3 linked regions of the Xenopus tropicalis genome follow. The protein of the gene in region 1 interacts with the protein of each later gene in a biochemical or structural test. Links are inferred from orthologs where the notes say so. Each region holds a gene or a part of one and is shown on either strand. Other genes may lie near its edges.

The links.
Region 2: the proteins of ctnnb1 (region 1) and cby1 form a complex in vitro, tested with the Homo sapiens proteins (2 studies listed by BioGRID and IntAct). The link is inferred for Xenopus tropicalis from reciprocal best matches to the Homo sapiens genes CTNNB1 and CBY1.
Region 3: of the proteins of ctnnb1 (region 1) and ube3a, one has a biochemical effect on the other in vitro, tested with the Homo sapiens proteins (3 studies listed by BioGRID). The link is inferred for Xenopus tropicalis from reciprocal best matches to the Homo sapiens genes CTNNB1 and UBE3A.

What each region holds. Positions count from the first base shown.
Region 1 is NC_030682.2:53,371,248-53,374,812, forward strand, and holds part of ctnnb1 (catenin beta-1), read left to right. Parts: coding exon 1-74; intron 75-580; coding exon 581-725; intron 726-940; coding exon 941-1,044; intron 1,045-1,121; coding exon 1,122-1,460; intron 1,461-2,295; coding exon 2,296-2,454; intron 2,455-2,535; coding exon 2,536-2,655; intron 2,656-3,565. UniProt on the Homo sapiens protein: Key downstream component of the canonical Wnt signaling pathway.
Region 2 is NC_030680.2:120,461,008-120,465,149, reverse strand, and holds the start of cby1 (protein chibby homolog 1), read left to right. Parts: upstream 1-1,332; 5' UTR 1,333-1,371; coding exon 1,372-1,451; intron 1,452-1,950; exon of another isoform or gene 1,951-2,062; intron 2,063-4,142. Other genes in the region: protein FAM227A, read right to left, coding at 1,046-1,089. UniProt on the Homo sapiens protein: Inhibits the Wnt/Wingless pathway by binding to CTNNB1/beta-catenin and inhibiting beta-catenin-mediated transcriptional activation through competition with TCF/LEF transcription factors.
Region 3 is NC_030678.2:113,372,940-113,377,083, reverse strand, and holds the start of ube3a (ubiquitin-protein ligase E3A), read left to right. Parts: upstream 1-1,334; 5' UTR 1,335-1,511; coding exon of another isoform or gene 1,512-1,624; intron 1,625-4,144. UniProt on the Homo sapiens protein: E3 ubiquitin-protein ligase which accepts ubiquitin from an E2 ubiquitin-conjugating enzyme in the form of a thioester and transfers it to its substrates.

The DNA of each region.
Region 1 (3,565 bases):
AAACAAATGTCAAGTTTTTGGCAATCACAACAGACTGTCTTCAAATATTGGCCTATGGAAATCAAGAAAGCAAGGTTTGTAGAGTTTTTCATGGATTAAAACTGATCTACAGATATTGAAGTTAATCTCTAGTGCTATACACAACTGACTTTGAGATTTGGTAGTATGTATTTAGCCAATTTAGGACTAAGCGTAGACCAAATCTGTGACACTTCCTTGGTAAAAGAAGCAGTGTATGTTTCCACCAGCAATTAATTTTGCCAGTGGGAAGGCATTGGGGAAGATTTGTCACCATTGTGCCTTACCCCAATGTAAAAGATAATGCTTTGAAACATTGTAAACAAGACACTTGTGGAAATCTGCCAAAATACAGCAAAATATAATATATCAATGTGTCATGGCAAGGTTTGCTCTCAGTGTCAACAGTGTAGAAATAAGACTAGCCAGTTTTAAATGCCTTCAGTTTTAAAAATGCACTGTATTTTGCCCTCCAGTCACTTTAGTGCATGAAGGAAAATTTTGTATAAATGCTTGTTATGCAGCTTGTATATGAACTTCATAGGATATTTTGTGCTTTTAGTTGATTATTCTTGCAAGTGGTGGACCGCAAGCTTTGGTAAACATAATGAGGACTTACAGTTACGAGAAACTTCTGTGGACCACAAGTCGGGTGCTTAAAGTGTTATCTGTGTGCTCTAGCAACAAGCCTGCTATAGTTGAAGCTGGTAAGCTTACCTTTCACTGTTATTCAAACCATCTGAATTGCATCCTTTAATCTATGCCATGCTGTTGGCAAAATCAAGGGTGGAAACTTAGAAAAATTAAGTCTACAACTCACGAGCTTCCATCAGTGCAGACTTAACAATCTGCAGCCCTGTATAGTTTCAGAAAAACTTTGTACTGATTGAGCTTAATTGACTGTCTTCTGTTTGCCATCTAGGTGGAATGCAAGCTTTAGGACTCCATCTTACAGACTCAAGCCAACGTCTTGTTCAAAATTGTCTTTGGACTCTAAGAAACCTTTCAGATGCCGCAACTAAACAGGTTATTAATGTTTTTCTTTAGGCCACTAGTGTTTAACTGTTTAGTGTGACTTTACTAAATATCTGTATTGATTTTAGGAGGGAATGGAAGGTCTTCTTGGAACCCTGGTTCAGCTTCTTGGATCAGATGACATTAATGTAGTAACTTGTGCAGCTGGTATACTGTCCAACCTTACATGCAACAACTACAAAAACAAAATGATGGTTTGTCAAGTTGGAGGCATTGAAGCCCTTGTTCGCACAGTTCTACGTGCTGGGGATAGAGAAGACATCACTGAACCTGCAATTTGTGCACTTCGTCACCTTACCAGTAGGCATCAGGAAGCAGAGATGGCTCAAAATGCAGTACGTCTTCATTATGGGCTTCCAGTGGTGGTGAAGCTCTTGCACCCTCCTTCACACTGGCCTTTGATAAAGGTAAGTAGGTTATACATAGGGTGCCCTATGGCTCACTCCAGAGTTCAGTCTGGTTTTTATTAATGGTCTGACGGGGAAAATTAAACTTCAGCTCATGATCAATACTTCAACCTCAGATTCTTGTATTACATAAACTAGACCAGTGATGCTCATGGTCTTTATCAAAGTCATTCTTAGCCTACAGTAAGTTTTGCTGCTTATGCTGCCTTCATAAACACATAACTGGTAATTTGTAATCATGGCAATTGTTTTGGCAAGAACTGACATCTGACCACACTGATTCTCTTAGGCTTTGGGTAATGGATTTGTAATTTAAATTTAAAAACTGACCACGTACGGTTACCAAATCGAATGAAAATTTGAAACTCGAGTTGCAGTATTGTGAATCTAGATCACTGAGCTTAGTCTTTAACCTCTTGTTGGCATCCTGTATAGAATGTGTAAGGCTGTATCAAAGTCTCCTAAATTACTACAAAATAACATGGTGGTAAAGTGTTAAACGGCTATTTGTTAACATCTCATATAGGCTTTGGTATAACCATTACAGTGACCAAAAAAAGGCTAGTGGTTGAAAACAAGTAAAATGTTTCAGTGACTTGGTCCCTAGAAAGTTTTTTTTATTTATTTTTTTTTTTTTTCCCCCTCATGCCTTCTTTTGACAAAATAGTACATCAGAAATTAGTTTGTCTGAAAACTAAAAATGTCTAGTAGCTGAACTACCCCACAAAGCTAAACTGTCAGCAAGGATTCCCATGCCAAGTATATAACAGTGATTTATAACTCGTGTTTACACTGTACCTCAGTCTTATTTCATTTTTTTTTTAAATTTTTTTAGGCTACAGTTGGCCTGATCCGCAACCTTGCTCTTTGTCCAGCCAATCATGCCCCACTGCGCGAGCAGGGTGCTATTCCTCGACTTGTGCAATTGCTTGTTCGTGCACACCAGGACACACAGAGGCGCACTTCAATGGGTGGAACACAACAGCAATTTGTGGTATGTAATTCTTTCAAGCTTGCCTATACTTAGATACATGTGTGCTTAAGGTTGCCTACAAGTTCTGATTTCCACTTTCAGGAGGGTGTCCGTATGGAAGAGATAGTTGAAGGCTGCACAGGTGCCCTTCACATTTTGGCTCGTGATGTCCACAACCGAATTGTAATCAGAGGTCTTAACACCATTCCATTATTTGTGCAGGTAAGACTTTAGTTCAGGGCAGTTTTAATGGAATGAAAAGGGAGAATTTAGCAGGATCTTTAAAGGATAGACTGGGAAATTAGTCAATTGGCATTTCTCGGTTTATGGAAGTTGGTCTCTTCACTTTTAAACTATCCATAAAACTAATCGGTGCCCCTTGGGAGTTTGAATGTGTTGGTTTGATAAAACAATAAGGTTTGTCTCGCACACACTAAAAATTCAAGAGTATGCAGTCTGAAGTATATGGTCCCCTGATCTTGCTGTTGTGTAAAAGGGACTCTAGCCACTTTTCAACATGAGTTTTATTAACAGAGCTTTTGCTGAACAAATTTTTCTTTAATATTTAACTGGTAAAATGGGCAAAATTTGCTCAGTATGGTTCTTAGATTACCAAAACAGATAATCCACTCAATTCTATTGGACACTTATCTGCTCAGGGAATCTACCTTGCAATGGTGCACTGCATTGCTCATGATTAAATCAAGAGGAGACAGGTTTTCAGCCAAGCCCTATTTCTTGAACTTGTGGATTTCTGTCCTTTTAAAAATTGTCTAAAAGAGGACATGCTTGGCTTATTAAACAGTAACACTGCTAGAATATTTTGCAGTATATTTAAACTAAACGCACTACTGGCTTGGCTAGCCCAAAATGTTACAAATTTAAATGGAAACCATGATTGTTTCTTTGCTTACAGGTACCAGTTCCTGACTTAGGTTAAACTAAATCTTCCCCAATCTATGGAGGAGCTCATGTCAGGGGCAGTATCTCCCAAGCGAGCGGATCTTCTCCCGATATCCCCACCTACAGGCGGGCGATATTGGGTGATTTCAGGCTAATTCCGACCGAATTAGAACTGCAGTATATAGTCTGTTCAGGGGCCATATGAACGAGCTGATGTCGCCAATCTGAC
Region 2 (4,142 bases), on another chromosome or scaffold:
AGGCAGGCTGGAAGGCTTGTTACATAGACCTTACAGTGAGATTCTAACTACTCTCCGTTTCTCAAGGATAGGTCCTATTTCAGGACTATGGCCTCTGGGTAAAACAGATCTGCTTGCTGCCCTTCCCTTTATTTCATAGCCCCTCCTATTTGACAGCACTGTGGTGCCTCTCACGGCCCCCCCCCCCCCCCCCCGAAAATATCAAAGGGGCTGTAATTTTTAAAGAGGAAAGGCGGCAACCCTGGTAACCAGAGTTTCAAATTTGTATTTAAATGATGCCTACTTTTCTACTTTTCCTTAGCCACATAATAGCCCCACCCCCCTATGATCAATGACCTGCCCCAAACATCACTCACCTACCCCTGATGTCGTTGCCCCCCCCCAAACATCACTGCCTTGCTCCTCGCCCAGAGGCAACCCTAGTCACAACTAAATAAGGACTGGAGGGAGCCCTTTATAAAGTACACACGGATACAGATATTGCGGACCCATTATTATATATTATAATATATATTATTATTTTTTAAGGCATGTCCAGTCTGTAGGAATGTTGTTGTAATATAATGGATGGCTGCAGGTTGAACATCTGAGTTAACCTGCAATTTTCCCACCCTAAAACTGAGCCCCAGCCCTCCTGTATTGCCAGAAGCTCCATCTTTTCCCATTATGTCTGTTCCTGTTTGCATTATTTTACCTCTGTTTGGTGCAGGTGTGTATAACCTGCATTAGCTTACTTAGACTGTAAGCTCCATGGGCCAGGGACCTCCTTCCTATTGCGTCACTTACTGCACTTTTTTTTCATTCTCTACATTCTCATCATCTATGTAGCTGTCTATTTAAATACTTGTATTTATTATAATGCGTGTCCTTCCTGTGGGTACTTTTCTACTCTGTCAGATTGCATGGTGCTGCTTAGTCAATACCTATTATGAGCATGATTTAAATTCATTGCAACTTTCCCTTCGTATGTTAACCACTCACATTGCAGTTATATATGACGTGATCGCTATTGGCTGCTTACGGACTGTCTGGCATGGATTGTTACCTTTGCGCCATGGGATTATCCGAATTCAGATCCCGGCACAGCATTCATTAGCGTCCCTGTCGCCATAGAAACACATATGGGCTAGCCCATCTGTCGAAATTGCTCACCAGTGAGCAAAACTCCCCAGCGAATATTTACAATGTTCCTCGCTTTTTGTCAGTAGGCTGCGATATAAGTGAATACGTAATTAAAATGCTAATGTGTGATAAAGGCAAAAAACCAAAAATGACTCCCCTTATCATGATCCCTTCCGCCGTGTCTACCCATAATCCCATGCAACGATCCGTTTGGCTGTAAGCCGTTGCTATGGCGACGCGCGCCTGCGCATGAAGCAGTTACGCGGGTTGGTTCTTTGCTGGAAGCGGAGAGTAGACATAGCAGTAGGAGTTCGTTCAGCGGTTTGCAGGTAACAGAGAGTTTATTTTTCTTTCTAACCTGGCAGGGGGTATTATTATTTATTCAAAAGCGTTTGTGTGAGAAAGGCAACAAGTCAAAGGTGGTACAGACCAAACAATTAAGTAAACAATAGTGTTTGAGTCATCTAATGAATGGCACTCCTGATTACACTGCACAGTTTTGGAAAGGGGTAATATGGTTACCTATAGTTGTTCTGAAGTGCGGCATGAAACTTTTCTTAACTTTCATTTAACCCTAGGGACAGTCTGTAAACTGATAAATGATTGTTACCTGATGTTTGTTCCATGTTAGTTCCCCCCAGCACAGCTCATGGTACAGCCTCTATGATGATCTCCTGTTTGCTCTCCACTGCTTTGCTGTATTTCTGTTTATCTTGGATATCCACTGGATATCTCATAGACTAATGGCACATGTGGCATTCTGATTGATGCTACTAAGTGAATAAGCACCTCAAACATAATTTCACATATATAACTTCTACTTTATAGTGGCAAAATACAGTATCATACCTGGTGACTTTGCATTGAAGGCAAGAGAAGAAAATACCACAAAAAAAGATAAGAAATACCACAACTGGTCCATAACCCAAGGATTGTACAGGTATGGGATCTGTTATCCAGAAACCCTTTATCCAAAAGCGCTGAATTACAGAAGGCCATTTTACATTTGGATTTGTCCTGGTTTTGTCCTATAATAAATCTCAGGAAAATTTGTTTTGGTGTAAAAAAACCCTAACCAAAAGTAAAGTAACAGCCATAAAATACCAGGTATTACATTAGCCTAAACCCCCTGGGAGACATTTTATATGGCAACAGCAGCAGGAACAGATGGTAGAAGACTGCTGATGGTGCTGATCCTTTGTACCTTGGGTACTACCCAATAGTATTTTTGTTAGCTAATCTCCTTTTGCTCCTGTGAGTAGGTTTAAGGACCACACACACCAATTATAAATAGCAGTCTGTTTTTTGTTTAAAGAGAGTGACACAAGCAAGATTCCAGTTTTGTATGAAATTACCATTGCAAGCAATTCTGTGCACAATAATTTATACCCTAATGCTTGACTGCTATCGTCAAGAAATCTATAAGGGCAAAAAGTCAAGGAATGCAAGATCACTAAGAATGCACCCATAAGTGTTAATACATTTCTGCCAGGGAACTAGCTTCACCACCTTGCATCAGATAAAAATATGGCTTGAGGTACCGAGTATGGCACTGGCGGGCATAGGCCAGCCCAGTCCTTACTATGTTCGGTAGGGCAGGTGGTAAAAAGAGGGCCCCTTTATGGCCTTCTTCCACTGCCATTTTTTTTAAGAAGAACTAAACCCTCAGAATCAATACTTAATCAACAGATAGTTTATATTATATTCATATTAATTAACCTTAAAAGAGGCTTAAAGATTATTAGCAAACTGGGATAATGGTAGGGCAGGTGGTAAAAGAGAGGACCCCTTTATGGCCTTCTTCCACTGCCATTTTTTAAAGAAGAACTAAACCCTCAGGATCAATACTTAATCAACAGATAGTTTATATCATATTAATTAGCCTTAAAAGAGGCTTAAAGAATATTAGCAAACTGGGATAATGGCCTTTTACATCTTGAGCCACCTTTTTGTAATAGTCTTGTGTGCTCCCTCACAGATCAGCTGACAGGAAATAATACAGCTCTAACTGTAACAGGAAGTAGTGTGGGAGTAAACCCAACCCAAAGACCTAACATGTATGTGTGCCTTAGCTTGTTTGTGTGCACCGTGCAAAGGTGGTGTCCCTTAATACTTAAAATGGTAGTTTTCTATTTAGGATCACCCAGTAGTATATTTTTTATGAAAATTGTTTATTTATATAAAGCAGGGTTTCACATATGAGCTGTTTTATATTTTATATTTTTATAAAGACCTACATTGCTTGGGGGTAAAGATTTCTTTTAACTTGCGTGTTTAAATGAAGTGCAAGCTAAGGGTGGGGCTGGAAATGCAAACACGCCTCTCCCCTTCCACCCCTCATGAACACACTGCTGCTGAATACAGGCAATTGCTGTAATTGTGGGGGTGGCTACACAAATTTGTGGCAACTCATTTAGGTAGGAAGAAAGTTTGCATCTGTTTTTGCACTTTGCACCTTGCCTTCCTGTTGGTATTCCTATACAGAATTTGTAGAGGTTATACAAAGACTCACAGGCGTACAGACGTAGATGCAAAATGCCTCCTACCTCTAATTTGCATTAGAAGTGGAAAAAACAACCAGTCCCTGGATCAACATTATACTAATATTAATAACAGTCACCTTCTGTTTTCTCACTTGTTAAAAAGGTATCTTGAAACTAATGTATTTGGCAGTATAAATAATTCAGGGGAGAGAAATATACAAATATGCATGTTAAGTTTATATATCCTCTTAACTTCAGGGGGGCTGTTGTGTCCTTTGGAATGAGCTACTGGTAGATGAAGCATCTCCATATTTTTTAAATGGAAGAACCCTTTTTGACATGAGTGCATTCTATATAAGCCCAACTGAATAAGCTCTTGTAAAAAAGGGGGCATAGTTTCCCTTACATACTGTGACTAGGTCAGTTGCAAGTTGATACAGAGTTAAGGTATGTGGCAACTTTGGTCCCAGTGTACGTCACAACTCCCCCAGTAGAACAGTTAGAATTATTATTGTTATTTTAACACAAGTCTGTAGC
Region 3 (4,144 bases), on another chromosome or scaffold:
TTATGTCAAAGAAAAACAGTAAACTAGCTCTGTAAGTGGAGAAGAGGGTCAACAAAAACAACAGGCACTGTAGGGTCTGGTTGCGGGGGGCCTAATTTGCACACAAAGGACAGAGGGTGCTAGTCTGGAGGGACCCATGGAACCCGACTCGAGTATAAGCCGAGGCTGACTTTTTCAGCACATTTTGGGTGCTGAAAAACTAGGCTTATACTCGAGTATATACAGTAGTTTTGTGCCAGCACACTTCAGTTGGGGCCAGTGCATTAGCCTTGCATAGGGTTGCCACCTTTTCGGGACAAAAATAACGACCTTCCTATAGATTTCTTTCCTTTTAATAACATTGGCATTAAGCATCATTTTTACCGACCAGCCCAGTACAATACCAGCCAGGTGGCAACCCTAACCACGCAGTCCCTGAATTGTATATATATCTTTATTTATAAAGAGCTTATATTGTAGTGTCACCCACTGTGACCTACAGCACTTATATTTGCCTATTTGTGTCTGTAAGTTACCCTCCCATATAGATTGTAAGCTCTACGGGTCAGGGACCTCCATCCTCTTGTGTCTTTGACTCTTAACTTATTGCAACTGTATCTTGTATTTATCGTTATACTTTGTATTTATCTATTATTATCTTAATAATCTCATTAGTATTAATGTATTCCACTGTACATTGATACCTACGTAAGTAGCACTTTATAAATAAAGATATACATACATAAAGCGCTACTTATGTACGCAGTGCTGTACAGTAGAATACATTAATACAAACAGAGAGTTATTAAGATAATAATAGATAAATGCAAAGTATAACAATAAATACAAGATACAGTTGCAATAAGTTAAGAGTTAAAGACACAAGAGGATGGAGGTCCCTGCCCTGTAGAGCTTACACTCTATATTTCAATTTGAATTGTGAAAAACCAACACCTTGCTTACACAAAATGACTGTGGTATGCTGATGGTGCGGTGAATAAAGAGCCTAAAAACTATAGATTACTGCATGTGAATCTCGCCCATTGAATTTTCCTACTGGGTGAAAAATCTGGCCGTTGTTTACCAAACACACTGACATCCCCAGTACAAAAAATAAGACCATGACTTCATTTTATCTGGCCCTATTTTGCGCAAAGTCCTCTTTCCTTATTGGTCTAATTGTAAGAAAAGGTTCTGAGTTAAAAAAAAGTAGGAGCTAAGAAAAAATACACTGAACTCAACGAACAACCTCGTGTTAATAACACTTTGGGGTTTCGCAACACTGAGGTCCCCTGTCACTCCCCAAATGGCTACGTGCCGCGTCACTGCGCTTATACGTCAGCTGTGACGCCACACTCTCGCGAGATGAGACTTTTGACGTCGGGATTAGCTGTCCGGCAGGGGCCAGGAATCTGGGTATTATCGGCGTTGCGGGACGTTTAAGCAGCAATCTGGGACTGCGGGCTGTGTTTAAAAATTCGGGTGTGTTGGGCGGTATGCAGTAGTGCTGTGGTTTAGATTGGGGGTCTCGCATGAGTTCCCCGGACAAGAGGTGGCAGCAGGAGAGAGAGGGAGCCCCGGAGCCCGAGGAGAGGAGGACCAACACCCCCCGCAGCAGCCCGGGACACAGCCCTGAAGGAGACAGGTCAGCAACTTTCATGTTCCAGAATGAACATCTCCAGTTGTGTGTGTGTAGGGGGAGTGATTGGCTAAACTGGGTTGTGTTTTGGGATTGTGTTCAGTCTGCAGCAGAACATGTCTTTCCATATCGTCCTTCTAATACTGCACATGCAGCAAAGACGTACTGCATGGCCGAATAGTGATCAGTTCAGATGCATGCTCCTCCATGTATTGCTTCTCTGCTCCCATGTGCTATACTGATGATCCATGGAATGTCTGGCCCATCATCACCTTTATGTACTGCTGGCAAGTTGTTCTGATATTCCAACCAACAGCAAGCAAAAAAAGCCTTGTGTAATCAAACAGCAGGGTTACAGGGTCCAGTTTATAAGAACTTGCTCCTAATCCGTATTTATAATAAAGTTGCCCGTTGTACTAGGAGGCTTATTGAAAAAACTAGTCAGAACTAGGGAAAATTGCTGCGCACTGCAGAGTAGGATAACAAGAAAAGTTGTAATGAGAGTAAGTGGAATTTCAATAATTGTGTATAAATTCATAAATGTATCTGTTCCAACCCACTTATAAAGTCATCATTGACACGGTAATACAAGCAGAACAAAGGCTGCAATCACTTGTAATAAATGGATGTTGCAGATAGATATGACACAAAGACGGCAGGTAAGTATCTATTTTCAGATTAAATACAAACACCCCCTCCCCTAACCATTCTTTTTTTTAAATGTGCTCAATCAATGCTGCCATCATTTTGACAGAGCCATATTTGTGTGTTAAGTGTCTAAAGATGTAGCAACATAGCTCCTGCATTGGAGTGTCAATTTCCCCAAAATCGTTGGATTGACAGATCCATATTTGTTCTTGTTGGGATAGCCTCCAGTGCAAAACTTTTTTTTAAAAAAATTACTTCACCAGTGTGGGTGGCCAATCTGTGCCTGTAGTAGGTTTACTTGCCTAGAAGCCAATTTGATAAAGTGCATGTGCATGAAGAAATCTTTAATATTGTTAAAAAATATTGTAGAGGTATGGAATCCCTTATCCGGAAACCTGTTATCCAGAAAGTTCCAAATTATGGAAAGGCCATCTCCCATAGACTCCATTAAAAGCAAATAATTCTAATTTTTAAAAAATGATTTCCTTTTTCTCTGTAATAATAAACAGTACCTTGTACTTGATCCCAACTAAGATATAATTAATCCTTATTAGAGGCAAAACAATCCTATTGGGTTTATTCAATATTTAAATGGTTTTTAACAGACTTAAGTTATGGAGATCCAAATTACAGAAAGACCCCTTATCCAGAAAACCCCAGGTCCCCAGCATTCTGGATAACAGGTACCTGTATATGAAACAGTGTCCCTGATCTTGTGTTTTAATGTTTGATTAGCGCAATGTAAAGAAGGTATAGTTTGTTGCTCTGATTGCAGGCATGCAGTTGGTTAAAGAAGACATATAGGATAATTAAAACTTCCATTATTATCTTTAAAATTAACCCCTTTATTGGTGCTCCCCATAGATCCACTATGGTCCCTCTCTGTGCTTTAAATGAGGAGTGGGCTTATATTAACTATCCCTTCCAGAAGCACAGTAGTAGTGGGCATAGCCAATTACAGCCCTGCTTTCACAAAGCAAAGTCAGAGTTAGTTTCTGATCAGGTCCACCTAGCTGCTGATTGGTTCCTATCCTACAGTTCAGTATATTTAGTGCCACCGGCTGCCCAGCACAGCCTTGGATTTTTTTTAAAAAGCATATTCAATACTTTGAAGAGAATAATGCACTGCCACATTTTTGTTTTTTACACAATAAGTCTATTGTGGAAGAATCATGCACTTCTGCAGCACCACTCTGAGCCAACTGGGAGCATCCATGCCCCCACTGATATGTCTTAACCTCTAAATTGATTTGGATTCTTACCTATCCTTCATCTTCCTGACAAATTGGCAAAGCTAAGCAAAATTCATTCAGACTATCTCCATGGAGGTTCTTTGTAATGGACTGCTTCAGTGCCACTAGTCTGTGATGGACCTATTGTTTAAACATGGGATAAATAATTTACTATCTATTTTTATTCTATTTATTTTAAGTATACATGCAAGTGTTATGTTTTAGCATAAGCACTGGTGATAATTGGTTGTTCTATGTGTTCTGCATATCTCATATCTCATACCTCATGAAATATTGCAGCTTATTTTGTTGTATACCACTTGAAGTTTGTGCATCAAATGTGTCTGTTAATTTTTTTAATGATACCACTGAGGATCATCATCAACTGTTTTGGTGAATCATTGCAAGTCAAACTAACAGCTAATAAAATAATGTATGCTTCATGTTCTTGGGTGAGGCACTTTGCTTCCTTTGTGAAGGCTGACTTTATAATGTGTGTCTTCTAACCTAAACAATATCACACTAAGGTATATTTTGGTCTCAATTTGGTATCAATATTTTGGTGCACTTTTGTTTTCTGGTTATTTTTTTTCCCTTTGTAAGGGGCTCTTTTTAAGAAGAGCATAGTTTGTTTCTATGTACTATT